Linked DNA regions of Lytechinus pictus. The protein of the gene in region 1 purifies or fractionates together with the protein of each later gene. This does not show direct contact. Links are inferred from orthologs where the notes say so. Each region holds a gene or a part of one and is shown on either strand. Other genes may lie near its edges.

Region 1 (7,309 bases):
TTGCATTATTCCGGTTGAAACAGTTCTATGCATTTCTTCATGAATATTCAATGAGCAATCTGATGTCATATTTCATTTATTATATGAAATTAGGTTTATTCAATTTTGTTTATCCAAGAACTAAAAAAATTTGGATTGACAACTGATCTGCATTAGATATTCATTTAGCTGCAACTTATTTCATTATTTTTTGAGAGACATACTCATTCACACATGATTTCATGTAATAACAAAGAAAAAAGTGGGGATCAGGGGATGTGACATCAGCCCACTTAATGAATATTCATGACATACAACTGTTTGCTAAATAAAAATTTAAAATGCAATATAACTTTGTTATCAGATTTTGATGAAATTTTCAGCATTTTGCTCTGTGAATTTTTACTCTATTTATTTTATGAATATTTTCAACCCAGAGTACCCTTTAATGTGAGGCATGCACATCCCTGTCAAAAATAATTTGAGTGCCGCAGATAATCGAATGTCGAGAAAAAGGGCAATGTGTACTTTGGGTATCTACCCAGTTGTGTGTCCCGACAGTTCGTGTGTCCAGACAATCGATTTTAAACAGCCATTTGGAAAAGTTCTATCAATTTTTAGCATAAGCTGTTGTAGGTCAAGTCCACCCCAGATAAATGTTAATTTTATTTTTGAATCAATAGAGAAAAATCGAGCAAGAATAAACGCTGAAAATATCATCAAAATCGGATGTAAAATATTAAGATATGATATTTTAAAGTTTTGCTTATTTTTCTCAAAACAGTGCACAACTCAGTGATATGCAAATGAGTTGATGATGTCCATCACTCACTATTTCTCTTGTTTTTTGTTTCAATTACACAATTATTATATTCTACTTTTTACAGAATTGACAATGTAAAACTTGACTGAACCACATGTTAAACAATGTTAAAGGTCCAGTCCACCCCAGAAAAATGTTAATTTGAATAAATAGAGAAAAATCAATCTAGCAGAACTGAAAATTTCATCAAAATTGGATGTAAAATAAGAAAGTTATGGCATTTTAAAGTTTCGCTTATTTTTTCACAAAACAGTGATATGCACAACTCAGTGACATGCAAATGAGAGTCAATGACGTCACTCACTCACTATTTCTTTTGTTTTTTATTGTTTGAATTATACAATATTTCATTTTTTACAGATTTGACAATGAGGACCAACTTAATTGACTGAACCAAATAGTATTAAACAATCCTAATTCCACATGTTCAGGAGGAATTAATCGTTGTTTCACTTGACAATGAGGAGAAAATTAGAATATTTCATATTTCATATAATAAAATACAAAAGAAATAGTGAGTGGATGACATCATCAGTCTCCTCATTTGCATACTGACCAGGATGTGCATATACTGAGTAACTGTTTTGTGAAATTAAGCGAAACTTTAAAATGTCATAACTTTCTTATTTTACACCCGATTTTGATGAAATTTTCAGTGTTATGTTAGTTGGATTTTTCTCTTTTTATTCAAATTAACTTTTTGTTGGGGTGGACTTGTCCTTTAATAAAGGGGTTAATGCAACATGTTCAGGGAGGAATAAAACTTTGTTTCAAAGGATAATATGGAGAAAATCAGACCATGTCAAATGTCACGTAAAAGAATACAAAAGAAATAGTAAGTGGGTAACGTCATCTGTCCCCTCATTTGCATACCGACCAGGATAACTGGTGTGAAATCAAGCAAAATTTGAATTTTAAAAATGTCATAACTTTCTTTTTACATCTGATTTGATGAATTTTTTAGTGTTATTCTCTGTTAGATTCTTCTTAATAATAATAATAATTAACATCATTTATATAGCGCTTATCACAAAGAATGTCTCTAAGCGCTTAAGGAAAATACATAGGAAGACAAGAAATTTCAGCTAAAAACAAATTATACATGTTAACAGTTGAAAGTAGACAGTTGAAGCAGCATATGCTTTTTGTTGGGGTGGACTTGCCCTTTTTAAGGCATTAAGCAATATTAGTTACAGAGTCAGAGCAAAACTGAGTGAAGTTGATTGATTTCATATTTTTTGTGTAGACCCCTAATCCAAAAAGGCTTCAAAAATATAAAGTGTCCAGACACCCGACCCCCCCATCCTAAGTAGGATGGGGGGTTGGGTGTCCGGACACGTAACAGAAATGAAGCCTTGTTTTTATCTCAGGAATAAACCAAAAATATAGGTTGAATAGTTTTTTTTCACCATCAATATTTGTTCTTTATAATATTTTCTTATATTCTGTGCTAAAAAGAATTAAAGACATTGCTTGTAAACTTTTCAAAATTGAGAGTAAAAGTCATGTGTCCGGACACCCAACCCGTCCGGACACACAACCACTGGGCATACAAGATAGACCTTCTAAAATGGTTTGATCCAGAATTTAAATTCAAATTTCATGTTCGGTCTTTTTCAAGTTACTTTCACTGTTGAAAATTCTAGTATTATTCATGAAATAATATGGTTTTATTAATAGGCCTAGGCCTAATTAATTTATATAGGGCCTAGGCCCCTATATTAAGGCATTTTTTTATGTTTGTAAACTTGAATTGAATTTGTGAACAAAACAGATTTCCAATAGGCCTATGGATAAATAAAGACGAACTTGAACTCTCTCACTTCTCTGCCCAACATTCCAAAACTTCAGACAGCGCAGTCATGCATTTCACACTCACACAGTCTTTCTGACACACAGACCACAGTCACAGATCTGCAGATCATTCCTACGAAGTTCAATCAAGTCTCCCAGACATGCCAGAAAACATCATCAAATCATTGAATTCACATCCAAAAAACAAAAAAATGAAGCAGCATATTATTTACAGTAGTTTCTATAATCTCAAAACAAACTAATTCGTATCAATTTTCTTTTCTTTTTAGTAAAAATATGAAACAAATTTAAGGAGACAAAGAGGCTCACCTGCTCGTGCCGATATCGAACTCTGAAATGAAGTTCCAATGATGCGCCTTATTTAAAGAGCCGAAAAAGAAAGCTGTTCATTGGCTGATCATCATAACAATATTCATGAGGGCAATTTGCATAAGATTTGTGATTTTAGAACAAACTAATCAGTTACATATTAGTAGAATTATTCGTTAAAATAGCTATATAATATTTTAAAAGTACATATTATTGAGTTAGATGCAAGGAAATAGAATTCCAACTAAGTTTTCATACCGATTTTTGAAATTTAAAGGTTCGTGCATAATTAATTTGCATATCGATAATCATGATCGATATCATTCAGATTACATGCGCAAACAAGAAAGGAAAAAAGGAAGAGCCAGAGTCTAGACGTGTCTTTTTTCAGGCATTCCTAAAGTTAGTGTTAGATTTGTGAGGTAAATTTTTATTTAAACACACAGAAGAAAATTCAAACGATTTAATAATTTTGATTATACGATTTTGAGTAGTATGAGAGAGCGAGTATCATTATAAAATGTCTGACTCATGCTGGCAAGACCGAGGGCGAGGCGACGTCTGAGATGAGGCCGCCTTGAGTTTCGGGGGACTTTTCATTCAATTCGCGCTAGGATGCCTGTTGCCAGAGCTAGCTAGTGCTGAGTGTCACTGTCAGTAGCCAGCGCGCGACATTGATTGTTCAGAATCAGAGTCAGACTTTTACTAGAGATTGCTAAAATTAAGTAATAAGTAACCATAAAAATATGGGAAAGAGTTCCTGTTTTGTGACAGCTACCCAAATCAACTAGATCTAACGTTTGTTAGATCTAGACTTTGACTAGCCAATTGACCATATAATTTGATGAAAAACTAAAATTAAAAAGGACTATTTTTTTATTGGATTGATTGGACTGGATGAGGTTGACTTAATAATTTTGAGGGAAGAGCCCGAGGCCAAGAAAAAATGGGGCATGCCGATGACGCGTGACGTGCACAGGAATGTTCTTGGTTATTGTAAAAGAAATTGAATATATATTTAGACTATATAGTCTAGTCACGTATTACCTGACACTATTATGATTATGATTCCTGACGTGCATTATTACTGCGTACGAAAGCAATTTTGTACTGCAAGACTTCTGCAGTTCAATTTCACAGAACAATACATAGAAGAACAAGATTGCAAAAACAAGGCTAAAAATGAGAGAAAATGCTTAAAATATTATATAACAATCGATATATTTTCTGACAGAAATATGGGCCTGATTTGTAGAATTTCAATCTCTTCCGCTCCTTCGATCGAATGTTGTGTATTGTGGGTGATCGTCGACGGCTGAAATTCTCAAGGTACCTGTGTCCGGCAATAGGATACACTGCCATACGTAGTCTAGATCTATAACTTTATAAGGAGTCTATTTTTGGGGGGGGTGGTGTTTGTCACATTCTCACACTTTCTCTTGCTCTGTCCATATCCCGGCCTCTAATCACTTGATCGGTCTATTTCTCTTGTGCTCCTTTGTTATGCCTGTCACTGTCGGGAGAGGAGTTTGAGAAATTAATTTTGCTCACTGAAATGCAACAAATTGATCAGAAATGAAGGAGAGAATCCTTATCTAGCTGGGACCTTCGGCAAGCGAGTCCTTGATCTGCCTTCACAATGTACCTGCCAAGAAGGTTTTGACGGCTTGGGCGTTCATAACACATTTATAGGGAGATTATAATACTTTTTTCACTAAATGGCGTAATTTTTTTCTAGAAGTTCTAGCGTTGATATCAGCTAGGTAGAGCTACAGCACAGTCTTATCAGTCTTATGAGGCTATTAAAATTACCCCAAGAGGTCGATTGCACACAAATTTTCACACTTTTTTCCATTGTGTGTGTGTGCATTGTTTAGGCGTTGGTGTGGCCTGATACGCTGGCGGATCCAGGAATGGGCACAGCCGGCCCGTGCCCCCCATTTTGAGAGGCACGATTAAAATTTGTAATGTAAAAATACTGTTAATGATAAATAATCCAACCCAAATAAAAACTTGTTTTTATAAGGAAAAGAAAAATCAGACTAGTTGATATGTGACAGTTTGAACAATATTGGACAAACAACAAGAAAGTTATGAATTTTTAAATGTTGTAAATATTGGTAATCACTATACCCATGGAGACTTCAAATTGGCCTCATATGGGATGTCATAGTGATGTAAGGCAAGGACTACTCTTCCATGTACTCCAATACATATTATGGCTAAAATGTTGTTTTTCCCAAAAGTTTTATTTCAAATTTAATTTTTATTTCATGAGGACATAAAACAATATACTACCTGGGTTATATTTAGATTACTGCCCCAGGGGAATGGGTACTTAGGAGAAAACCACAAATCCCTGATAATAAAGTGCATGGCCTATGGGAAAGTTGTCCTTGCCCCTTGTCATAATTTACTTACTCAGTTGCCAATTTGAAATCTACATAGTATTAGTGATCTCAATTTTAAAGCAGCTATAACTTTCTTATTGCTTGTCCGATTTCTTTCAAACTTTCACCATTCTGTTTAATTTATTTTCTCCTTCCCAACACAAAATTTTATGGCCAAGGCTGGATTCCCCTTTAATACAAATGTTTCTAAGCGTTGCATACTATTACCCTGGCTTTAGCACGGCTATCCCGATCAGACGCTTGAGCATTCAAGGAATTCCTTCCTACCGGGTACCCATTAACTACACCTGGGTGGAGAGTGGCAAATGTAGATAAACGCTTTGCCAAAGGATGCGAGTGCTGCAGTGGAGTTTGAACCTCGGACCTTGTGGTTCAAAGTCCAGAGACTTATCCACTGAGCCACAACACCTCTACCTCTGTTAAAATACAAGTGTGCCCCCCCCCATTTTGAAAGTGAAGACCTTTAAAAAAGAATTTGTGGACGAAATGCCCTAAATTTTTGGTTGAAAACTTTTTGCTTTTTTTATTTTACAAGAACTTTAAGGTCAAGCATGCACCAAGTTCCACATTTTTTTCTATTGCGTATGTGTGTGTTGTTACTTAATGCATTGATATGGCCTGTTATTTTGTGAATTGTGTCATGGAGTGCTATTCTGTAGCCTCAAGGTCGTACATGTACGTGCACGTTCGGCAGCATACGAGCTCCATCCAGCTATTGATCACGATGGGGACACAACGCTAATAAAAAAAAGCTATGTGACTGACAGTGATTTGTAATGACTGTCATACGAGATTATACTCATGCCAATAGTTCTTGCCCTAGCTGTTTGATTGTGTAGTGTACCAGGCTAATGGAATAAAACCATTGTATGTATGACAGCTATTTTTCGATAACTAACATCTGTCGCATAAGTCTTGTGAGTACTTCGGATTTATACTTGATAATTGGGGTTTGTTTTGATCAACAGACATAGAGGGCAGCAACATTTGTTGTGCTTATCACTCTTTCTTGAAAATGAAACATTTTACATTTATAACTTTTGTATTTTACATCTGATATGCATTTTATAGTGATGAATATGTATGCTTGTTTGCCTTTAATTCAAGTATCCCAACAGCTGGTGTACACACTTGAGACAAAGGCCATTCATAAAGATGGACCCTAGGGATGAAGGGCAGGAGAGTTTTCAAGAAGGGGCCTACATGATATCAGAAGTGGATATCAAAAGACAGAAGCAAGAACGTCATTATACCATGCTGAGTCAGCTACAGGACATGGCTCGGCAGATTCCTATGTGAGTACAGTACTACAGTCTGTCTTGGTCAACCTTCTAGAAGTTAAAGCAATTTTTAGATCATAATTTACAAAGCAAGGTGTATTTTACATATCTACAAGTTGAATTTGCCTTACAAGTCAAACAGATTTCTCTTTGTTCCAATAAATTGTGCTGAAATAAAGATGCTAATTCAATTTGTGAAATTAAAATATTGAAATAAAAGGAAGCATATTTCAGAATTTTCAGAAATAATGAGCTTTTCAATCAATCTATGAGATGTAATATCACTAATGGCAATTCTAGTATATGAATTATGATTCCTAGATGCTTAACCGGAAAAAAGAATAATTATAGTGAGTTGTAACTCTGAGGATGGATTTTCATCTAGACACATTGATGATTCATATTTACAATTGATTTGATATTTTGTTACAGGGCCTTCCCTGAGTTGAGGCATTTTCTCAGACAATAGAAAATGCAAAACATGTGTTATTAAAGTCCCAAGAGATCAACTTAAATGCAGATTTTACTTTATTTGAATGGATCATGGATACATAATTCAGGTATGCACTAATTGTTTCTATAAACAGGAATTTTCAGCAGCGGCTACCCTACACAACCATATCTAACCTAGCTTTATCTCTGCTGGATGGAACTGTCTTTGAGATTGTCCAACATCTCTCTGAGATACAACA
Region 2 (7,472 bases), on another chromosome or scaffold:
CTGCCAAGCAAGAATACATCTTTCCTGGGAAGCCCTTCTTCCTTCCTAATAAAATGCTCTTCCCATCCTCAGAAACTACAAGCATAATAACCACTGGGTCTAAGCGTGGGTAGCAAGTGTTATGAACTCCGTTAAGACTTCTACAACCTAGAACATTAAAACAAAACAAATAAAACCTCATTCTCATGTTTGACACTTGTAGGATAAGTGGTGTTACAGACTTCTTTACTGAGCTATAATAATTTAAAGGACAAGTCCACCCCAACAAAAAGTTGATTTGAATAAAAAGAGAAAAATCCATCAGGCATAATACTGAAAATTTTATCAAAATGGGATGTAAAATAAGAAAGTTACGATATTTTAAAATTTCAATAAATTTCACAAAATAGTGATATTCACATCCTTGTGGTATGCAAATGAGGAGACTGATGACATCACTCACTATTTCTTTTGTATTTTATTATATGAAAAATATGAAATATTCAATTTTTTTCTCTGTTGTTGTGTGAAACAATGATTAATTCCTCCCTGAACATGTGGAATAAGAATTGTTGAATACTATATGGTTCAATCAAGTTGGTCCATATTGTCAAATATGTAAAAAAATGAAATATTGTATTATTGAAACAATAAAAACAAAAGAAATAGTGAGGGACATCATCGACTGTCTCATTTGCATGTCACTTAATTGTGCATATCATTGTTTTGTGAAAAATAAGCGAAACTTTAAAATGTCATAACTTTCTTATTTTACATCCGATTTTGATGAAATTTTCAGCATAATGCTTGTTTGATTTTTCTCTATTTATTCAAATCAACATTTTCTGGGGTGGACTTGTCCTTTAATAACCTGCAATATGCAGATAAAGATGAATTGGACATTGAGAATATGAATATTCATGAAACAAGGGTCAGCCTATTATTGGCCAATGATTATGCTTTAACGCATGGAAAAAAAAGAGAGAGAGAGAGACAAGAAAGCCATGGGATGATGTGATCTAATCCTAAAAAGGAAATGCTTCTCTAGAGTCAATTACAAAGCATCAATATGATATTGACATAAAGCTTGTACACTAAATGGTAAAGTTTACAACCTATTTATCTAACCCAATTGGCCAACATGTAAAGATCAATATTAACCAACATGAAAGCAGGATGTTACCTTCTTTTGTGCAGACTCGTTTATATCCTGCCTCTGCCGTGGTAGTAGATGCACCACAGGTAGGGCAGAACTTGTATCTGTCATGCCATGCCAACATGGACCTCCCCTGACCGATGATACCAGCATCTGCTGGACTCAGAAGCATTAAAGCCATGCGATTCCTCTTGGGTAACATCTCTGCTTCAGGTTTGATCTTCTGCAGATCTTCTGAAGGAATATCGGTAACATCCACAGCAAACCAGGCACCTTCGGAGCTCTTCTCTTGCATGTCTCCATCCTTGTTCATTGGAAGGTGCAGTGGACCTACCCCTAGGAATATAATGGAAGCTTCCTCTTTCAAGGCAAAGGAGATTTCCTTATAGGAGTATGCAGCAAGATTGTACTGGAACATTCCATTGCTGTCCTCAGAAGGGATGATGTATGGATTCAAGTATCTGTACAGGATATAGGTAGTTGTGGGTGCTTGCATGGCATCCCTTATCCACTGTTTGTTGGTTCTTTGGTGGCTCTGGCGATCAAGTGGGTTGAGGCCAAAGAAGTTGACCAGGTCCTTGTTGGCAACTTCTTTGATCTGAGGATCACTCCTTAGTAGATTGATGACTTCAGTATGGTCCCAGAACTCAGCAATATCCAAAGAGTTCTGACCTGATTTGTTGGGTAGAAATGGATCACACCTGTGCAATAAGGGAACAGAAAAATGTAGGCCTACATGAATCACAAGAGCTACAATAATCACAAAGATCTAAAATCTAATCAGCATGACAAAATTGTTTTGAATAGAATCAAAGAGAAAGAACTAGAGGTCTATATCTTCCTATTGGTATTGTACATCATCATTAGTTGTCATTACCGGTACAATGAATTTTCTAAACTGCTTTTTTTTTTAAGTTATGAAATACAATCATTCTCATTCTTTTTTTTTTTACTTTGGATGTACCATTTTTAATGAAATCTAATGTATAACTATGCACCTGCAACACCATCATCATCAAGAAATTAAATGCAAACTTATCTCCTTGTTTAAAACTTAATTTTGATTATAGCTGTCTGCTCATTATTTATTGTAAACTTTGACATCAAAAGTATAAGGCATATCATCATCATCATCATCAACATCGTCACCATCATCATCAACATCATCCTTATCAATTTTCATCATCATCATCACCACCATCCTCCTCCTCATGATCATCTTCATACTTAGACCAAAAGCTTCGGTCTCTGTTATGTTGGTTGTTCAGCTGAACTCCGTTGGCTTCACTCACCAAATACAGAGACCGAAGTTCTAGCGCGATCTGTACAGGGGACTCAATGGCCATATGTTTATGTACTTAAGATCGGATAAAACGGGGAAGTGAATTTGCGCGACAGCAGTGGCGTAACAGGCGGGGGGGCAAGTTGCCCCCCCTGGCGGATTTCACCGGGAAAATAAAAGAAAAACGGGAAAAAGAAAAAAAAAGAGGGAGAAAGAAAGGGGAAGGAAAGGGGAAAAGGAAAGGAGGAAAAGGAAAGGGAAAAGAAAACGAAGAAAAAACTTTTTTTTAAATGGAAAAGGAAGGAAAGCGGGAAAATGTACGAAAGAAGAACATCTGAGAAAGAGCAAATCATTCCAAAATAGGCCTATGTAATGCAATAGCACAGTGGGAAATAAATCAAAAGATGACAAAATGGCAAACAATTGCGGGAAACGAAGGTAGAATGTAATTAGTCAAAAGCTAATGGACTGCATACAACATTGTGCTTTAAGCTTGCTAAATGCGGGGCTAAATTTTATGCAAATAAGCTACCGGGGCTTTGCCCCAGACCCCACGCAGTAGGGGCTCTTCATTTATAACCTTCAAATGGCTCTATAACGCCCCCCGTTCAATCACTGGCAGACAGGCGGGGGGGGGGGGGTCTTGGCTCCACACCCAAGAGGAAAGAAAATAAATTATATGAGACAACGTATAATGAAATGAATGGAAACAATAAAAGGTGTTATTTGCTGAATATAATGGAAAAATATATCACATAATTAGAATTTAATTTCAATAGGCATTTTTTCCAGCTCGCTTTGCACGCTGGCGACTTTTTACAAATTTTTCCCACATTGCAATGTTTTGCTCCCTCAAAATATTTGGTTCATTACGCAACTGGGTTGAATAAAATTTGTTGTGTAAAATTAAGCTATATTCTGTATATGCCCGCGATTTGATTAAAATAGCGGCAATCTGCGAGGTTTAAATGGCTTTGATATCAAGAAGTTCCGGGGGCTCCGCCCCGGACCCCAACCGCACAGCACAGCGTATGGAAGGGTTGGGCCAAGGAGATATCACTCTGTGATATCTCCTTGGTTGGGCCATGGCTTCAAAAAGTTCTACAAACAAGAACAACAAAAAAAGGAGGAAAGAAAAGCAAAGGAAAAGTGTACCTAGATATGATTTTATTTACTGAATAAAAAATAGCTCAAAGTTAGATTCTCAGGAAAAGGTGATTTTTTCTCGCTCGCTTCGCTCGCTCGGGACTTATATAAAGCAGCTTTTTAGCACATGTGTTATAATGCGCCCTTCCGTTTTTTTTTTTTACTCTTCACGCTACTGCCGCACAGAATCCTGTTCACAGTGGCGTACAGACCACAAAAAAAGGAATCTAAAGAGAGAAGAGTGAAATATATTATTCTCTGGATATCATGTCAAAATCTATCACAAAATTGGATTTTTGTATTAAAAAGGTCAAAAATTTTTGCTCGCTCGCTTCGCTCACTCGCAACTTTTTTTTAAAGATAAATTCTGCCTGATACGCAATATCTGGCCTTCTCAAAATAGTCGCCTCATTACACCATTGCACCTGTTCATACCATGATATGACCGGGAAATTTTTGGCTCTTGCCCCCCCTGGCCACCGACCCCTGTTACGCCGCTGCGCGACAGCCGAGGTAAGTCACTGTTTATGTTCCTTTTAACTTGATTTTTCTCCGTTTTTTGGCAATTAATGCCAAGAGGGAATATTAATTTGCATTTTGGTCGCGTTAATTTTCAAAATTTCTATTCATTAAAGACAAAAATTGAAGAGCCCCGACGGGGGGATTTTGCATTGCAAGTCCCCTAATGGTGGCTGCACGCTAGCGAGCCGTCTGTGTACGAGGAGAAAAAAAAAAAAAAAAAAGTTTAAAAACTCCTCGAAACAGACGGCTGCCAGCTGTCTACTTCATACTAACCCATTTTGTAACAGGATCTTGGCGACATCTACATGCCCGTTCCTGGCGGCCAACATCAGCGCTGTCCACCCTTGTTCATTGCGACTATCCAGCCCAAGTTTCCTCATTCCTTGCACCATTCGAGAAACATGGGCCGTTTCTCCAAGACTTGCACAGCGATGAAGTTCTGTCAATAGCTGGTCCCGAGGGGCTGTACTGATGGAGTCCATTCTTGTACCTCTGTTCTAAATCAGTAAATGTGATGTTGTTAAACAAATCTCAAGGACAAGGTTCGTGAATCAGCTGACACATGAAAAGACCCATAAAGTTAGACTTTCATGCAGTCGTTTATAAATGTGCGCTATGACTACTGTACAGTGTGTTGTACGTGTGCGAGCCAACAGTCGAGTGTCTTTGCTTGATTAAAAGTCAATAGACGGTAAACGCCTGTTCGGAACATCTGTTTCCATTGATTCTCAACGTGCATTCGATATTCGTGCACTCCCGAAATGTCTTCTCTGCAACTAAAGTTGGTCTCTCTTCTTGTTCAGGACCATTTTGGAGATGCTGTAGAGAAAGTTTGTTCACACATTCTGAAACATGGATCGAATAATTTTCGGAGTATAGTCTGTGCGACAAACGAAAAACCAGAACAGGTGAGGTAGTACATCATGGTCATGCCATGGATGATGATGGGTTTCTTTGACTTCGGTCCCACGTGTTAAGAATTTTGTTGGTAATAATTTGGATTCTGGACTAGGCCTCGGGGCACTCGAACTCGAAGAAGGGGGGGGGGGGCATGTTTGCCTAGCCTGGAGGCTTCTGGAGAGTAAAAGTCATCTACTATACGTAGGCTTACTTTCCATGAAGCCTGAGTCGGGATACCATTGCTCTACACACACCGTAGGTTTTCCCACGCGGTGAAAGAAACCACTCTGGGGCTACACCGCTATTCCAACGCGTGTTGGAAAAGTCGACGCCAGACGGGTACGTTTTGGCCTTGAATTTCCAGCAAATTAATCAAAATTACGGCCTAAATTTAGGTCTATGTTATCAATTATATACTAATTTCATAATTATAATGTAAAACGGGTACTCACGGGTTCTTTTCTTTCCAAATTTTGTGTTTTCATCGCCTCTTCTGGCCAACTCTTGCGATGGATTTTGTCGCCATAGGATCCTGTACGTGCAAATCCAGGGCGAGTTGTCACATGACGCTCGCGAGTCTCTAGGGGTAATGGCCTTTAATCAAGGCGTTCTTTTTGCTATAATTTTATAATGACGCTTAAATATCGAAATCAATGTAGACGAGTCTGTGCAGGGGCATAACAGGGGTATATAAGAGGGGGCATAGTACATGTCGCATGTGGAAGATAAAAGTTACGTAATGTAAGTCCCGAGCACTAGCGTACCTAGGGGGGGGGGCAGTCTGCCCCCCCCCCCCCGATGAGTCACAAACCCATGCAAATTACATATCTCTGCCCCCCGGCCCCCCTGACGAGCTTGAAAACCTATTTTGCCCCCCCCCCCCCGACGAGCTTGAATACCTATTTTGCCCCCCCCCTGGCGAGCTTGAAGACTTTTTTTTTGCTTGTCAAATTTTTTCTGGTACGATTGAAGACCTTTTTCATTGAAGAGCCTTTTTTTCCTTTTTTTTTTGCTTGTCAAATTTTTTGGCGGCCGATTTTGCCCCCCTGTGGAAAATCCTAGGTACGCCATGCACTGCCCGCGCTACATGTATGTTGGTAGCCCTGGGACCTCTGGATATTAACTAATCCAATTTAATTACAGATGGCAGATTTTTTTATTATCTGAGTAGCCCCCCCCCCGGATTATTTGTTCTCACATTACTTTCCTTTTTAAATTTCCTTTCGTTCTTTCTTTCATTTTTCTTTCTTTCTTCCTTCCGTTGCTCCTATGGTTTTTTTTCAGGTGAAATCCACTCGGGGGATGGCCAGCCATGCCCCCATCTGTTTATGCCTCTGAGATGTAGGCTATACTCATGATCTTAATCTTCGATTTTCCAAAGTAGGGGGGTGCAATTTCTCAAGTAAAATTTGACAACCCCCCCAAAAAGGTTATCACAGAAAAATTGTCATTTTGTCTCGCGTAAGATTTGACAAGTAAAAAGAAAAGATGGTTACTAAAAATAAAAGACTCATTTTGTCCGTGTAATATTTGGCAAGCCTCCCCCCCCCCAAGTTTAACATATCGGAGGCGCGATGGCTCAGTCGGTAGAGCAGGGGTTTCGGATTCCGGTGACCCGGGTTCGATTCCCAAGTGGTGCGCTAGTGCCCTGAAGGCTTATCCTCATTACCAGGTCCCTCGGAGAGGACCTTAAGCCGTTGGTCCCCTGGTTGCTTGCTCACAGGCATTCGTGCTTTTTTAGCAGTCAGGTAAAAAATCTCGATATAACATAACATTAAAAAAAAGTGAAGGTCATTTTGTCCTGCGTGAAATTTTAAAAGTAATAAAAAGATGGTCACTAAAATTGAAGTTCATTTTGTTTGTGAAATATTTGGCAAGCCCCCCTCCCAAAAAAAGGTTTTAACTAAAAATGATTGAAGGCCATTTTGTTCCTCTTAAAATTTGTCAAGTATAAAAAAAAAAATCACTAAAAAATGAAGGTCATTTGTCCCACGTAAAATTTGACAAGCCCCCCCCCCCTAAAAAAAATGAAAGGTAGCTGATAATGATTGAAGATCATTTTTTCTTGCATAACATTTTACAAAAAAAAGTGTGTCACTATTTGGCGAGCCCCCTACCCTCCAAAAAAAAGGTTTAATTAATAATGATCGAAGGTCATTTTGTCTCTCGTAAAATTTGACAAATAAAAAAAAAGTTGTCACTAAAAAAAGAAGGTCATCTTGTCGCGCGTTATATTTGGCAAGCCCCCACCCCCCTAAAAAAGTTTGTCATTAAATATAGAAAGTCATATGTTCAAAGTAAAATAAATTTGGGAAGCAAAAAAGAAAAGGACAAAAAAGAGCAAAGAATATGAACAAAATATCCCCATTACAAATATTGCTGTGATTCTCATAAGGAGGTGGGGGGGGGGGGACTTAACTTTGTACGAACGACATTTTTTTTTTACATCCAAAATATTGACTATGAATCTCAAAAGGTGGAACGGGC
Region 3 (6,997 bases), on another chromosome or scaffold:
GTCTGACACTGGTTGCTTGCGTTGTGATAAAATCTGTAGGATCTGTGAATATAATGAAAAATATTATAAACTTTAGGAATTAGGGCAGAGTCAAAACGTTTAAACACTGTTCAAACTTCAAACGACTGTTAACAGCATTAACGTTAACCTATTTTGACAACCATTTAACCTGTATAGATCTAAGATTAGGGCCCAGGGGGAAAAAAACCTTCCCAAAAAGTTGCTGAAATGTCACATTTTACATCTTTATATGTACATTCAGGAAAAGGCTATATATTTTCCAAATTTACTTGAAATGAATATTCACCTCTTTCTTGACTCTGAAAGATCGTTTTATAATGTTACACTCTGTAAATATTCTAGTCCAACATTTAGACTTTCATTTAGACTTTCAACAGAGTGTAAAACAATAAAAAACAAACCAATCAAACGATCATTTTCATTTAATGTTGCAACACCACTGAAGTCTGCATGTGGGACTACAATATTGACTAAGTGTAACATCATAAAACAATTTTCCAAAGTCGATCGTCGAGAGAGGCTGAATATTCTTCATTTACTTGATAGTTTTCAACTAAATCAAAACGATTTTAAAGAAATCTTTAAAGTAGGTGGCCATTTCATGAATGCAAAATGTGAAATTTCAGCATCTTTTTGGGAAGGTTTTTTCCCCCCCTGGGCCCTACTAACGTTAGATCGATACAGATTAAACAGTTGTCAAAATAGGTAAATGTTTGACGGTCTTTTGAACAGCTTTTAAATGTTTTGACTCGGTCCTAATTCTTATGATTAGGCCTAATACATAATATAAGAAATTTTAAAACAATAGAATACATACATGACATAAGAAAACAAATTTTTTACTTTTTGAAAATTACATTTGAACACAACGTCACAAGTCAATGGCACAAAGAGAATCTAAAAAAAAAATTAATCCGCAGCTTGAGCTTTATTCTAATTAATTATCCAGAGTAAATCATACATATCATTATCATTCATTTAAAGAAAAGTTATCATTTTTTTTATATTGCTTCAAACCACTCTAGGCGACACCCCAATACTTACCCGTGCTAATAAACTGGGACTCCACTCACGCGCATTTGGGCCGCCCTAGCTTAGAACTAAGCAATATTATCTAGAAATTGTTACATTGTAGTCATTAAATATGTTCTATTAAATAAATTGATAATGTTTAATCGGTACTCACCGGTTCTTTTGTTGCATTTTCAGACCATTTCTCACAATTCTTCGTAAATATTTGCGGCAAATTTTGTCGCCATAGACAGCTTAGCATCCATCTTTATTGATAAATGGAGCGCCCTTTATGATAGTTGTTAATGCCGCGGAGAAATCGTTAGGCATTTTGGCCTGTGTTCAAGGCGTTCTTTCTGTTTTATTTTTTATATTGAAGATTGTGCATTTGTTGAATACCGCCGTCTACGTCAGGTATGAGATCGAGTGTATAAATACATCTTCCAAAATAATTATGATTCCGACCTGGCGCTGTTTAACTTCAATCTCTTTCACCTAAATTAGCGATGAATGCTAGCATTATAAAATATATATTATTAACGTCTGACAAAGAATAACCAACCGATCAGCTGACGAGAACGCGAATCACGTGATCTTCATATCAGCTTCGATCGCGAGTCAGAAGAGAAGAGCAGCTGCCCAGAAAATCAGGAAAAAGCCGTGAAAATGTAAGTTCCCCTTCATTTCTTTCATTTTTTTGTTGTTGCTAACGATGCATTTACACTATAAAATTATAATTTAAATAAGAGAAAGGAATATAGCTTGTACTTGTGATATATCCTGTTCTCAGAGATTTCTAACCAAAAATACTACTGATGTTGCCTATGAGGTCCATACATGTAATGTTGGACCTCATTGGTACTAGGAGTGCTTCAAACGCTGATTCTGTCATTCTTGATATCAGAATAATTTATCCTTTTGAAGTAAAATTGTAAAACAAGATGTTCACACACATTTTAATTTTTATTAACGAAAATGCATCCATGACCCATCATGCCCATGGCATGTGTTACTGCATGTCTTTATTCAACCAGACCTTGAGAGAAAATGGAAAGGTGTATAAACATGAAAATTTGCCCTTTTCATTTTAAATGCTTAAGAATGTCACTAGAACTAGAAGTAGAAGTTGAACTAGTACTAGTAGAAGAAGTAGAACCTACGAGTATGATATGAAGTCTAAATTTTACTAAATTTAGAGTTAGACACTAGGCAGAAAGTTGAGAACATCTACTCTAGCCTAGGCTTAGTAGGTTGAGATCTGACGCAATCTCAGTCAGTCACAGCCGTTTCCAAGACGATTAACTAGACTAGATCTATCACTAAAATATATCTCGCATTCAAGCATGTGCAAAAATGCCACATCCAGCTCAATTCGCAATGCCCACACAATACTCAATAGGCGCAGGCCTACTGACGAATGGCCAACGTACGTACAAATGCATGCCTATGGCTATATGGAGCCGGTCATGCCGGTTGTGAACGAACCAGTCATAACTGGATTGCACGGACGATTTTCGATGATAAAAATCAGTATGATACCTCATCAAATTCAAATAAAATATTAGTCGAATGAGACTTATGATGAAGACGCATGAATTATGAATCATAAATTTTCCTTAATGCTATGAGAAACTTGACTATAGAAATTATCTTACCTATTTTCCTTTCTTTAGCTGGCAATTGTCGCGCGCAAATTCAGTTCATTCATCACACGTGAGAATTTCAATTGCACGCGTACTATATACTGCGAATTGCTATCGAGCGAAGATAGCAATGTGAAAGTAGAACTAATTCAAGTCGCAAAATTAAATTTGAAGTACTCCGAGCTGCATGAAACCAAGAGTAAACTTTAGGAAAAAAATTGGGACTTTATACGGGACTTTATATCCGGGCTTTATATATCACGAAAGTAGAATGAGCAAAAGATCCTGCGCCCAGGACTGAACTTCATTTAACCTTATGGATGTATGTAGTAATTTTATACCTTCTGAACTTTGCTTGAATTCCCATGCCCTCAAAATAATGAAGGCCATTATGATTACATTCCATCATCTTGTCTTTTTAATTCTAATATATATTATTCAAGTTCATTCCCGGAGTTCATTTCATTGTACAATGCGTTGAGGAAACCGTCTAAAAAAAAACCTATTTTTTAAACAGCTGGTATCAAGTCATTGCCATTGGTCTAATAAGTCAGAAATATCGAGTCTAAAATAGGTACAATTTTGGGATAGTTATATATAAGTAAGAAACACAAAGACAAACTAATTATTCAAAATTCCTGAAATTAAACTACGAATATGAAGAAATCTGCGCACGCTCGTTCATGAAGGTTTCGACGCATGCGTATCATCTTGACCCGTCTGCTGAAATGGAAAATTTCCTTGAAACCATCCAAATCTTGATCCCTGACACTAGTACTGGCCGATACGGGGGGGGGGGGGGGGGGGGGGGGGGGCAATGGGTCGTGGCCCCCACCCTATTGGCGGCGAAAAAAAGGAAATGAGGGGGGGAGGAGAGGATATAAAAAAAGGAAAAATTAAAGGACGAAGACGAGTGAATAAAATAAGGTGAGGCCGAGAAGACTTGGAAAATAATTTCAAAAAATCTTGCATGTCACTATATGTAAAAATTTCACTCGCGTTTCGAACTCGCATTGTGAGAAAGTTGCTTCAGTCGTCTAAAACATTGTGCATTATAGAGGATAGTAAGCCAGGGTAATTATAATCAATAACTAAGACTTTAGAAGAAAAGGGAAACGGAGAAATGAGTATTTATATAAAAAATATAAGGATTAAACAGTCGAGATTCGTGCAATGAAAACTCATTTGCTCACTAGTTAGAGGTGAGTTGAGCATAAAAAATGGGATCATGATTATCGGGAAAAGCGGTTCCTTATGAAATCCTATAGGATTATAGAATCCTAGTATAGGCCTAATATAAACTTCTGAAAATGCGGAAATGGAACTATGATGCAAACGGTGAAACTGAAAAGGAAAATATTAAAGGAAATTTTTGAATAATAGTTGATATTGTATTGAGAGATGATGCAACATTCAACATTTGGAGCAAAATTCAACTTTGACATTTTAAATTATTAGACTGTTGCGTCAATTAATGTATGTGATTGGAATTATGCTAAAAAAAAAAAAAAAAAATTGTTAGGATATGTGGGAAATACCGCTGTCGTTACAAGGCTAGAGTGTTTCATTGTAACGGAAAAAAATTGATCAGTGTCATCAGTAACTTGTCGTAAAATAAACTTCAAGAATATGTTTATACACCTATATTTATTTTTACAAATTATCCCCCGCTTCCACAATGATGCCATGTGACCCCCCGCCAGTGTATTTAAGGAACGTTTTTATTGGTTTATATCAAAGTTGTTACTATATTTAAAAGTCATTTGAATGATTTAATTCATGCCTTGGATTTATTATAACCATATTCTTATGATAGCGGATAAAACCTTTGCAACAAGCTAAAAGTAAGGATTTGTTCATTATTTTGTTACGGCCAAATTCTTGTAGGAAAGGCGACCGCGTTAGAAATTTTGCGTTTTTTTAAATGCAAAAGTAGGCCGACTCCACTGCTACCATCCTGCCTGTGCCGCTGTGGGGAAATTACAGGTAGGACTATGGTATGCCAATGCTGTATTGAGCACACACTTTAAAAAAATCATTAAAATATCACTTTTGTGACCAAAATTATTAATTTCCATACAGTTGCAATTTAATTTTCATTAGTAACTTAGAATAATTTTTGTATTGACCAGAGCGCTCAAAAACTTGAATTTTGGGCATATTTTTGTGTACGCCCTCTATTGGTGGAAAGTAATATGGCAACAAAATTTACATTTTTCAAGCTCTATTTTTAATCAAGAAAAAAATAATTTAAAGAATCAAATTTGCTTAAGAGCCAAGTTATATACTGTAAAGCTGTAATGGAAACTGACAGTGCAAAAAAATCAAGCATTTGTCCAAAAGAAAAAGAGAAAATAAGCCAAACATTGTCAACCTTATGGACACTATTGGCTTCCCATAATTTTAGCACAGAGTTAGACCATGGTCTAAGTTAAACCTGACTCAGGCGCGTAGCCAGGGGGGGGGGGCGGTCGCCCCCCCAAAAAAAATGCTCCCAAAAAGAAAAAAAAAGAAGGGGAAAAGGAAAAAAAAAGAAAAAGCGAAAGGAGAAAAGGGAAGAAAAGTAAAGCTTCGTTGTTTTTTTCCTCTTTTTTTGTCAAGAGAATAAAAACCTGAACGAGACGTTCTTTTCTCTTTACAAAAAAACTTTCTTCCGCGCTCCGCGCAGGAAAAATATCAAAATTGCTATTCCCTTTTGTTTCCCACACCTTTTTTTCTACTCCGTTTTCCCCTTCCCGGCTGGGGGAATTGTATATTCTTGCCAGAAATTATAAAGTACATGGGCGAGTGTAAAGAGTATGCAAAGTATTTTTAATTGTTTTGCATTGACACAAAATTTCGGCTCATCTGTTCGGAGCGGGGAGACTTTTTCCGTCACTACCCGAATCCCCAAATGCTATTTCTACGCTTTTCAAGAAGTAATTTTTTGCAAAGTATCTGCTCAAAGGGGAGACGTTAAATTCATGCCGTGGTATATGCAAAAATAATTATGTACGATATTACACTTTATTCTGTATCGCTGTACATCCATTTCCTGTCTTGTTTTGCGCCATTGATTTGAAATTTTGAATATCACTGAAGTTTCTTGATCAAACAAAAGGAAGCGCTTAATATGAGCGAAATTACACAATGTTTTTTCTTCCAAAATAAATCACAGAGGTTTCCGTGATTCGCGAGCATGGGAAAGGAAAAGTCCCTTTTCTAACTTGCATCATTCCTTTCAAATTTTGAGCTCGTTTTTCTTCTTAATCGAGTTGTATATAATCTAAGAAATATCAAAATTAGAACAGGTTAAAGTTTCAGAGAAATTTCTATAATTCAGAGCTTCAACGCCATTCGCGGAAGGAATATAGGGCCTATTTTCTTCCTGCATATACCCGTTTTCTGTTTTGACTTGAGTTAACGAAATTTGATGTGGATAAAGTTTTCACAATCAAATCTGATGTGACCAAGATAGGCATAATTATGTATATGTATTATCACCATTGATTGTATTTAATTGTATATAATTGTATTGTTTGTTATCCAGGGCCTCATGGAAGATCAACTTTTGTTGAATGAGCTACCCTGGTGAAATATGAATAAATAAATAAATAAAAAAATAATAATTGTAACATTTCTGTTCTCTATTTTTATAAAACGTTTTAAGCTTCCGCGCTTCGCGCGGTAAGAGGAATTATTTCAAATTCTCCAATCTTTTCCAATTTTTGGGCGCTCATAATTTCTCTTTCGAAAACAATTTGTTTTTAATCACAGCAGGTCAATTGAATTCGAGTTGATAGGGTACTAGAGACGCAAGAGACGCCTTCAGTTTTCAACATTAACGCCTATCGGGAGCTCTGTAAGTGTTGGCACCGTAATATATAATAAGGTCTTTGGTTGGTACACTTCGCGTGCACTTACCGCCCCCTCAAAAATTCAATCCTGGCTACGCGGTTGACCTGACTTCAGAGTACGGGCCCATGTGGATAATTCTTTCACATTGGGTTTGGGTCTCATCTATCCAATGAAACTAAGAATTTTGACAGAATGTTACACTTGAGTGAGCACTGAGTTTTCTGTAAAGCTCGCAGAAATCGGTTTGGGCAGAAATGCTTATTTTCACGCTGTGTCAACAGGTCAAGGAAAACATATAGGCGAAAACAAACTGACTGTGCTGAACATTTTCTCATCATGTTTAGCCAATTGAAATAAACCAGATACATAACATTCTGTAACAACCTTGCCACCCAAATCAACATTTTAATCCTAGGTAAGCACAACCTTTACCTTTTTGTGCCAGCTGGATATGAGGACATAACTGAATGTAAACAAAAGTTTAT
Region 4 (7,067 bases), on another chromosome or scaffold:
ATAATCTTAGGATTTCTATCAAAAAATAAAAACAGATTGATTTCAATTGTCTATTATCTCATTATTGTCTTGTTATTGTGGTCTCAATAAAATTGTTGATATTATTGTCTTTTCATCGTTTCATTATTGTCCCAATTATTATTATAATTATAATAATTATTATTATCATGATAATTATTTTTGTTTCATTAATATTATTTTCTAAATAATGATTACAATTATAATTACTATCATTATAGTAATATTTGATCATTAGAGTAATTATTGTTATAATTATTTCATAATAATAATCATTATTGAAATAATAATTATTATTGTCTCAATAATTATAAGGCCTTAAATTATAATTATGATTATTTTTATAATTACAATTATAATAATTTTTATAATAATAATCATTATTGATGACTTATCAATATTACTGTCTCAGTAATTATTACAAGTACAATTACTTTCATTATAATTGTTATCATTATAATTATTTTATGATAATTATTATTATTGTAATAATAGTTATTATTGTCTCAATAATTATAAGGCCTTTAATTAGAATTTTGATTATTTTTATAATCATAATATTTTTATAATAATAATTATTGATGACCTTTCAATATTACTGTCTCAGTAATTATTACAATTATAATTACTTTCATTATAATTGTTATCATTATAATCATTTTATAATAATTATAATTATTGTAATAATAGTTATTATTGTCTCAATAATTATAATTACTATAATCATAATTATTTCTACAATTATATTTATTTTAATTATAAATAAGTATTACTATTATAATGATTATTATTGATATCTCATTAATATTATTGTCTCAGTAATTATTACAATTCAAATTACATCATTATAATTGTTATCATTACAATTATTTTATTATAATAATGATTACTGTAATAATTATTATTGTCAATAAATACTAGAATTGATGTCTCATTAACATTGTCTCAATTATTACAATTATAATTATTATCATTATGATTATAATTGTTATCATTATAATCATAATAATTATTATTGTAATAATAATTATTATAATTGTCTCAATAAATTATTGTCTCATAATGTCTCATCATCTCTGTTGCCTCATTATTGTCTTCTCTTATTTTTTCATAATATCTTCAAAATAATATTTAACACCATAACAAAGGTCCATAAATCAGATATCAAATTCATGAAACTCATCTCATGTATCTAAACCTATTTCTAAATTAAATTCATGAAAGGAGCTTTCTGTGCCATTCAAAAATACGACTTTCATTAACAATACCATATTCTAGACATTCAGACGCATTGCAACAAAAAAATCACTTATCAAACAAAATTCTTGAAGTTTACTTGCAGTTTTGCTCTTAATACTTATTTCACACGAATTCTACAAAATTATTTTCAAAATAACAATTTGATTTTCATAATTAACAGAGCTCAAATCGTAATTAAAAAAAATATACAACGGCTGAAACATACCGTGTCTGAATACCAAGACTAATCTCAGGCCCAACGCAGTGGGGATGACGTCACTTACAGCTGTTCGTATACGCTCAAAACAACCCTGCTCGATCGGCCGAGTCAGATTCACAAACACCTCATGACACTCAAAACTGAAGCTCATATCCGCAGGCTCTCTACGGACCAAATTTAATTAGAATTTAACAAAATGTTCTCAAATATACAATTTTATTACTGACCGAGTTTACAAGAGATCCGATGATTACAAGAAGGTGATTTCAAGCAAAGAAAAATAAATACCTGAATATTAGGTCCTTCCCTCGCATGAAGGTAAGTGATACTCCATCTTATATATTTCCGATGTTTACCGAAGATGTACAAAGCAACCGCGGGAATTTTTGACCAATCACAATCAGCGGAATAAAGGAAGAAACTGACTCTGTCTTTTCGAGCAATGCCGAATGCAACTCCAGCGCTCGGCCAAAGTGTCGAGCGGAGCGAACTGTGTGTGTTAGATATGCGCTCGCCATTCACTGCAATGCAAAAATCTACGTCTAGCGCTGTGTCCGCGCAATCGCCCGCCTGGCTGAAGTGTCTAGGCCTAGCAATAATTAAATCAGATTTTTAATATTTAAAAAATCATAACTCTCTTAATATTTGGCCTAGAGTAATGGTTAATAATACCATTTTAAATGTTTTTTTCAGCCCTTTCCAATGAGCTAGGTTACAATGTAATTCCATGATTTTTATTTTTTTTGTCACATATATGGCAGTATGTCCAAACTTCGCGCGTGTCCATACTTCGCGGACGGTCATTATTTAAAAAACTAGCCAATATCCTTAAAATCTGACATCATCAACGTGAAAAGCGACCTAAAAGTACCCTATAGTGAAAATTTCTTTAGGATGAGTTCAGTATTCATGAAAATATTGGCAAAAGATCGGCAAATTTGCCACCGCTAGCGCCCGTTTTGAAGAAATCAACAAGCATCACGATATCACCATTTTGCAAGCAGAAATCATAAAAAATGTGAGTTAAATGTGGTACTAACCGATTCCATAGCATTTTGCCATCAATCTGATATAAATATTTCACTTTTTTAGCTTGATTTTTTGTTTAAATCTCCACAAAAGCTTTGGTGCGCGAAGTTAGGTCACACTTTTTCTGAACGGTTTTCCAGCACAGCCCGCATTCGCCGATCGGAATAGAATTTTGAGATCGCGATACCGGCGAAACCCCTTGACTAGACAGGAATAACCGTCGTTTCTGGGGATTTATTCAACAATTTCTGACATTTTACTGTAATCCCCATTTACCGACGGTAGGGTGTACGTGTGGGCTCGCATGTGTTCTCATTCCCTCCCTTTTGTCAATTCACAGTCCAAAGTTTGATGTAATTTTACACATCGAATTTACAATCTAAGGATGTATAAACAACAAACTTGTAAAATTTAATATTTTAATATTTAAATACTTTAAACGATATAGATGAAAAAGGCATGAAAAATATACTTTACCGATGTTTAATTGGGTTGAACACGATAAAAATGGTCAAAATGGCAGCCAAACTATAAAATATTTACAAACGAACGTCAACAATCACGAATGTGATATCGATATTGCTTTCGATATTATACGATCTGCTCCATATGCGATCGAAACCGAAGATAAACGATACTAGTTATACTAGTACTAGTACTAGTTATAATCGCGATATATCGATTCGAGACATTAAGTTTATAACGATAATGACGTCATTCAAGATGGCAACTTGCAAGAAAAACCGTCAGGTCAGGTGAAAATGTCTTAGATGACAGATTTCTCAATCATCCAGAGGATTTTTTTCAATAACTCCGGCCCAAGGTATGCAATTACTAAATTTATTCATATTTCCCTGATAATGGAAACCATGATGAAACTTTCAATTTTGCTTAAAAAACAGTTTTAAATCGCGATCTATAAAACGCTAGTTCACTATACGTTGGCTGTAGGTACGGGGCCCCATCCCCTTCAGTCTATGTATGGTGAGTGGAGCCAACGTAGTTCAGCGGAACAACCAAAATACAGAGACTGAAGCTTTTGGTCTACCCCTTGACCTACTTTACATTTTCGTCCATGATTTTATAGTTTACGATCTTGCCGTCAATGTGGTAACTATTTCTTGAATTGGTTTTGTATAAATTATGAATATTTTGTGAACAAAAATAAGCCTGATGAATATTTTTGAAAAGTGCGCGAAGTTTGGACACCCCATCATACCTATCTTAAAGACTTAGCATGTTATTGTTAAGGCTTAAGCATCCTCTTTTTTGGCAAATTGGCAATGTTTTTATTTTTATTTAAAATGCTCTTTTAGCACTTACATGTACATGCACTTTACATATTTAGTTGGATATTACAAAGATTTTGAAAAATATTATGTCCTTAAATCCTTGGTCCATTTCATGGTTGAGAAGGGACGTGACTTTATAAACAAGACATAGGGCCTAGGTAAATAAATACAAAGAAATTTCACCAATATAGCAAACGCAAAAGTCAACACATGGGACCAAAATGAAATAAATCCAAAGAGAACTTACGCCACTCATCCGTTTGCTTCATTCTTACAGGCATGCGGCATCCTTCAACCACCAGATCTTCCTGAAAAGAAAATTAGAGTTGCGATTATAAGTTCAAATAAATAGGGCACAATAAAAATTTAAAAGAATTAATAAAAACGAGCAAAACTCACAGTTTTTATCGATGAATCATTATTTTCCGCCATTTTGTTTGTGTGTTTTCTCTCAAAATTACTCCACTGCCGACGGCTTGTCCAAAAAAATTTTCTTGTCCAACTCCAAGAAAGAAGCACAGATAAAGTAAAATGAGTGCAGGAGAAAAGAAGGAATCACCAGATGCTATGAATCTAGAGGAGAGGTATGAGCCGTATCATATATGCATTTTAGATCGATTTTTTTTTCTAATTTTGCATTATATGTTTAAATTTTTGTTTTTTTCTAGCCAAAAAGGTCGTGCTTCACTTCAGTCCCACCTGATGTCTGTTTTGTTTGCTCTGGTTTTGGAAGTTTGTAGTTGTAATATAGTCACGTATTGTATTAATACCGGACACTATTATGATTCCGGACGCGCATATTACTGCGTTCTAAAACAAATTCGTACCGTAAAACTTCCGCAATTCAATTTCACAGAGCAATACATAGAACAAGATTGCAAAAACAAGGCGAAAAATCCAACTTTTACCTAATTATCTCTCAAAATGACAGAAAATGCTTAAAAGTTAAAATATCATATTATAACATAGTTTTGTATTAACAATTGATGTATTTTCTAACGGAAATATGGGCCTGATTTGCCGAATTTCAATCTCGTCCACTCCTTCGATCGAATGATGAGGTGTGGTGTATTGTGGGTGATCGTCGATGGCTAGTTCTCAAGGTACCCGTGCGCGAGGTTTACCGTGAGTAGAGCCGTCGATCGGCAGCGCATCGATAGAACTTGATGAGCGTCACGATATGATACGAACGCGAGCATATTATTATTGGAAAGTGCCATGGAACATGCAGCTAACAAGACAAAATAAAATAAGTTATCAAACACGAATTTATTACCAACATCTGCTCAGATTCGATATAAAAAAGCAAATAATACTTAGAATTTACTCATGATATGATATAAGAAGAAAAAAATCACACAAATTTGCTCTTACATCATTATAATCAAGGATATCTTTACCCGTCCGGCGCGCGTCCGGAATCATGATGTAATTTGTCGCGCACGAAAATAATTGTTTTTCATGGAGGGGTATGCGGCAACTGCGATGCAAAGAAAATGGTTGGTAAATATAATTATAAAATAATTTTATCATATTCATAATTTTCATAATATTTGGAATAGCAAGTGTGATTTTTTCTTGATTGTATTTCCTCTAGTTGTCATTTTTAAAGCACTGAAATAAAGGTGTCCGGCAATAGGATACACTGCCATACAGCTAGTATTGCTATTTTCAATTTCACATTCATATAAAAATTAAAACATATTGGCCCGTATTCTGAAGTCGGGTTTAACTTAAACTCAGGTTTTAAGTTGTGGTTTAAGTATGGTAAGCCAATGGTTACATAAATCACTATTAACAGTAGAGATATCATATTTCAGCTCATTTGGCTCTCAAATCATTCATAATCCTGATAATTGTCTAGGAAGTATAAAATTAAAATTGATTGTCTTCATCATCGATGAATCAGGAAAGAGCACAGTAAACATACAAAACATACAACTTAATAAACATTTTGACACTTTTGGCTTCCCATAATTTTAGCACAGAGTTAGACCGTCCATGGTCTAAGTTAAACCTGACTTCAGAATACGGGCCATTAGATTTTTGGAAAAGTACCGGTAGTCATAATGTTCTTTTGATATGAAGGAAACGGACACGAAAACTTAAACTTTTGTTGTCACTTGTTTTTTTTGTTGCTATTTATGAATTTTGCCCTTTTCTGTGTAAAAAAATGTTGGACTGGAGTCCAGTCCTGGAGGCTGGACCTGGAATCTGGATTGTGAAAGTTGCATTGCAGTTGCAATGAAATTATCTAAATTATAAGACCACTTCTAGTACCAATGAGGTCAAAAGTGACTCAAAACGTAACCTATTGACCTCATAGTCAACAATCGTACATATATGGGGAGGTGCACTTGTAGAAAGTCGCCTCCCGTGGCAGTACACAAATGCATGACGACTAGTTTTTTTTTTCGTTTAGATATGAACTTCCTTGAGTGAAATTATTATTGTTTATTGCAATTTAGATATTACAAATTATATCTAAGGTAAAACTTTTTATTAAATATCTGTGGATTTTGTACAATGGTACTTGAAAGTCTTACTACGCTGGCAGCTTTTTTCAACCTTTTTTTAGGTCCCAAAGACTCCCACTCACTGCCTCCTACTAGTCCTAGAGTGTATAAGACTAGAATAAAATACAGTCAGTGTCACTTAATCTCTCTCTTTTAGTCCAGGCAGATAATTTGGCATTATTTGATTTGAAGGCTTATTTATTTTGCTGTCAATACCTGACATAGTCACTTTTTTATAAATGTGAATTTGAAACAGTTGATTTTCCATTATTTTGAATTTACATTGTATCTCAAGACATTATGGTCTATCTCATCAACAGTAACCAATTAATTTGAACTTTTGTAATCTGTTTTCTTGTTCAAATTACAGAATCCTGGAACTATGTAAAGGAGAATCAGATGGTATTCGAGATTCGGCTATTCAGAAGCAACTTCCAAACATTGATGCTCAACAGAGAGTATCGGCTGTCAACAGACTTCTTTCATCAGTGAGTTTCTTTTTTCACCCCCCCTCCCCCGCGAAGGTGGTTGTCAGAGGCATTCATTATATTTTGGAGTCATTGTGTTGCTAATCTGAGAATATATTCTCAGTTAAGCAACACAATGACTCCAAAAGGTATACCTTCAAAGGTATACCTTCAAAATAAATATGAAAAACATAATTTTGATTCAGTAATTCCTATTTGTTTACAATTCAGAGCATATTTGATGAAGAAATCTAATTTGCATCCTTTTCTTTTATCTAGGGTAAAA

The links.
Region 2: the proteins of importin subunit alpha-1-like (region 1) and DNA-directed RNA polymerase III subunit RPC3-like purify together in Homo sapiens (co-immunoprecipitation; 3 studies listed by BioGRID and IntAct, with this or other methods). This does not show direct contact. The link is inferred for Lytechinus pictus from reciprocal best matches to the Homo sapiens genes KPNA2 and POLR3C.
Region 3: the proteins of importin subunit alpha-1-like (region 1) and GTP-binding nuclear protein Ran-like purify together in Homo sapiens (affinity purification with mass spectrometry; 3 studies listed by BioGRID and IntAct, with this or other methods). This does not show direct contact. The link is inferred for Lytechinus pictus from reciprocal best matches to the Homo sapiens genes KPNA2 and RAN.
Region 4: the proteins of importin subunit alpha-1-like (region 1) and DNA-directed RNA polymerase III subunit RPC6-like purify together in Homo sapiens (co-immunoprecipitation; 3 studies listed by BioGRID and IntAct, with this or other methods). This does not show direct contact. The link is inferred for Lytechinus pictus from reciprocal best matches to the Homo sapiens genes KPNA2 and POLR3F.

The regions. Positions count from the first base shown.
Region 1 is NC_087248.1:5,553,299-5,560,607, forward strand, and holds the start of importin subunit alpha-1-like, read right to left. Parts: upstream 3,028-7,309; 5' UTR 2,927-3,027; intron 1-2,926. Other genes in the region: protein DGCR6-like, read left to right, coding at 6,493-6,632, 7,205-7,309.
Region 2 is NC_087249.1:23,388,696-23,396,167, forward strand, and holds the start of DNA-directed RNA polymerase III subunit RPC3-like, read left to right. Parts: upstream 1-4,567; 5' UTR 4,568-4,846; coding exon 4,847-4,993; exon of another isoform or gene 4,994-5,053; intron 5,054-7,472. Other genes in the region: NAD-capped RNA hydrolase NUDT12-like, read right to left, coding at 1-147, 1,163-1,836, 4,359-4,567. UniProt on the Homo sapiens protein: DNA-dependent RNA polymerase catalyzes the transcription of DNA into RNA using the four ribonucleoside triphosphates as substrates.
Region 3 is NC_087246.1:34,163,453-34,170,449, forward strand, and holds the start of GTP-binding nuclear protein Ran-like, read right to left. Parts: upstream 3,002-6,997; 5' UTR 2,688-3,001; intron 2,466-2,687; exon of another isoform or gene 2,193-2,465; intron 43-2,192; 5' UTR 1-42. UniProt on the Homo sapiens protein: GTPase involved in nucleocytoplasmic transport, participating both to the import and the export from the nucleus of proteins and RNAs. Switches between a cytoplasmic GDP- and a nuclear GTP-bound state by nucleotide exchange and GTP hydrolysis.
Region 4 is NC_087251.1:35,560,015-35,567,081, reverse strand, and holds the start of DNA-directed RNA polymerase III subunit RPC6-like, read left to right. Parts: upstream 1-4,106; 5' UTR 4,107-4,197; coding exon of another isoform or gene 4,198-4,230; 5' UTR 4,231-4,329; coding exon 4,330-4,382; exon of another isoform or gene 4,383-4,517; intron 4,518-6,684; coding exon 6,685-6,802; intron 6,803-7,060; coding exon 7,061-7,067. Other genes in the region: histone acetyltransferase KAT5-like, read right to left, coding at 4,046-4,106, 4,198-4,230. UniProt on the Homo sapiens protein: DNA-dependent RNA polymerase catalyzes the transcription of DNA into RNA using the four ribonucleoside triphosphates as substrates.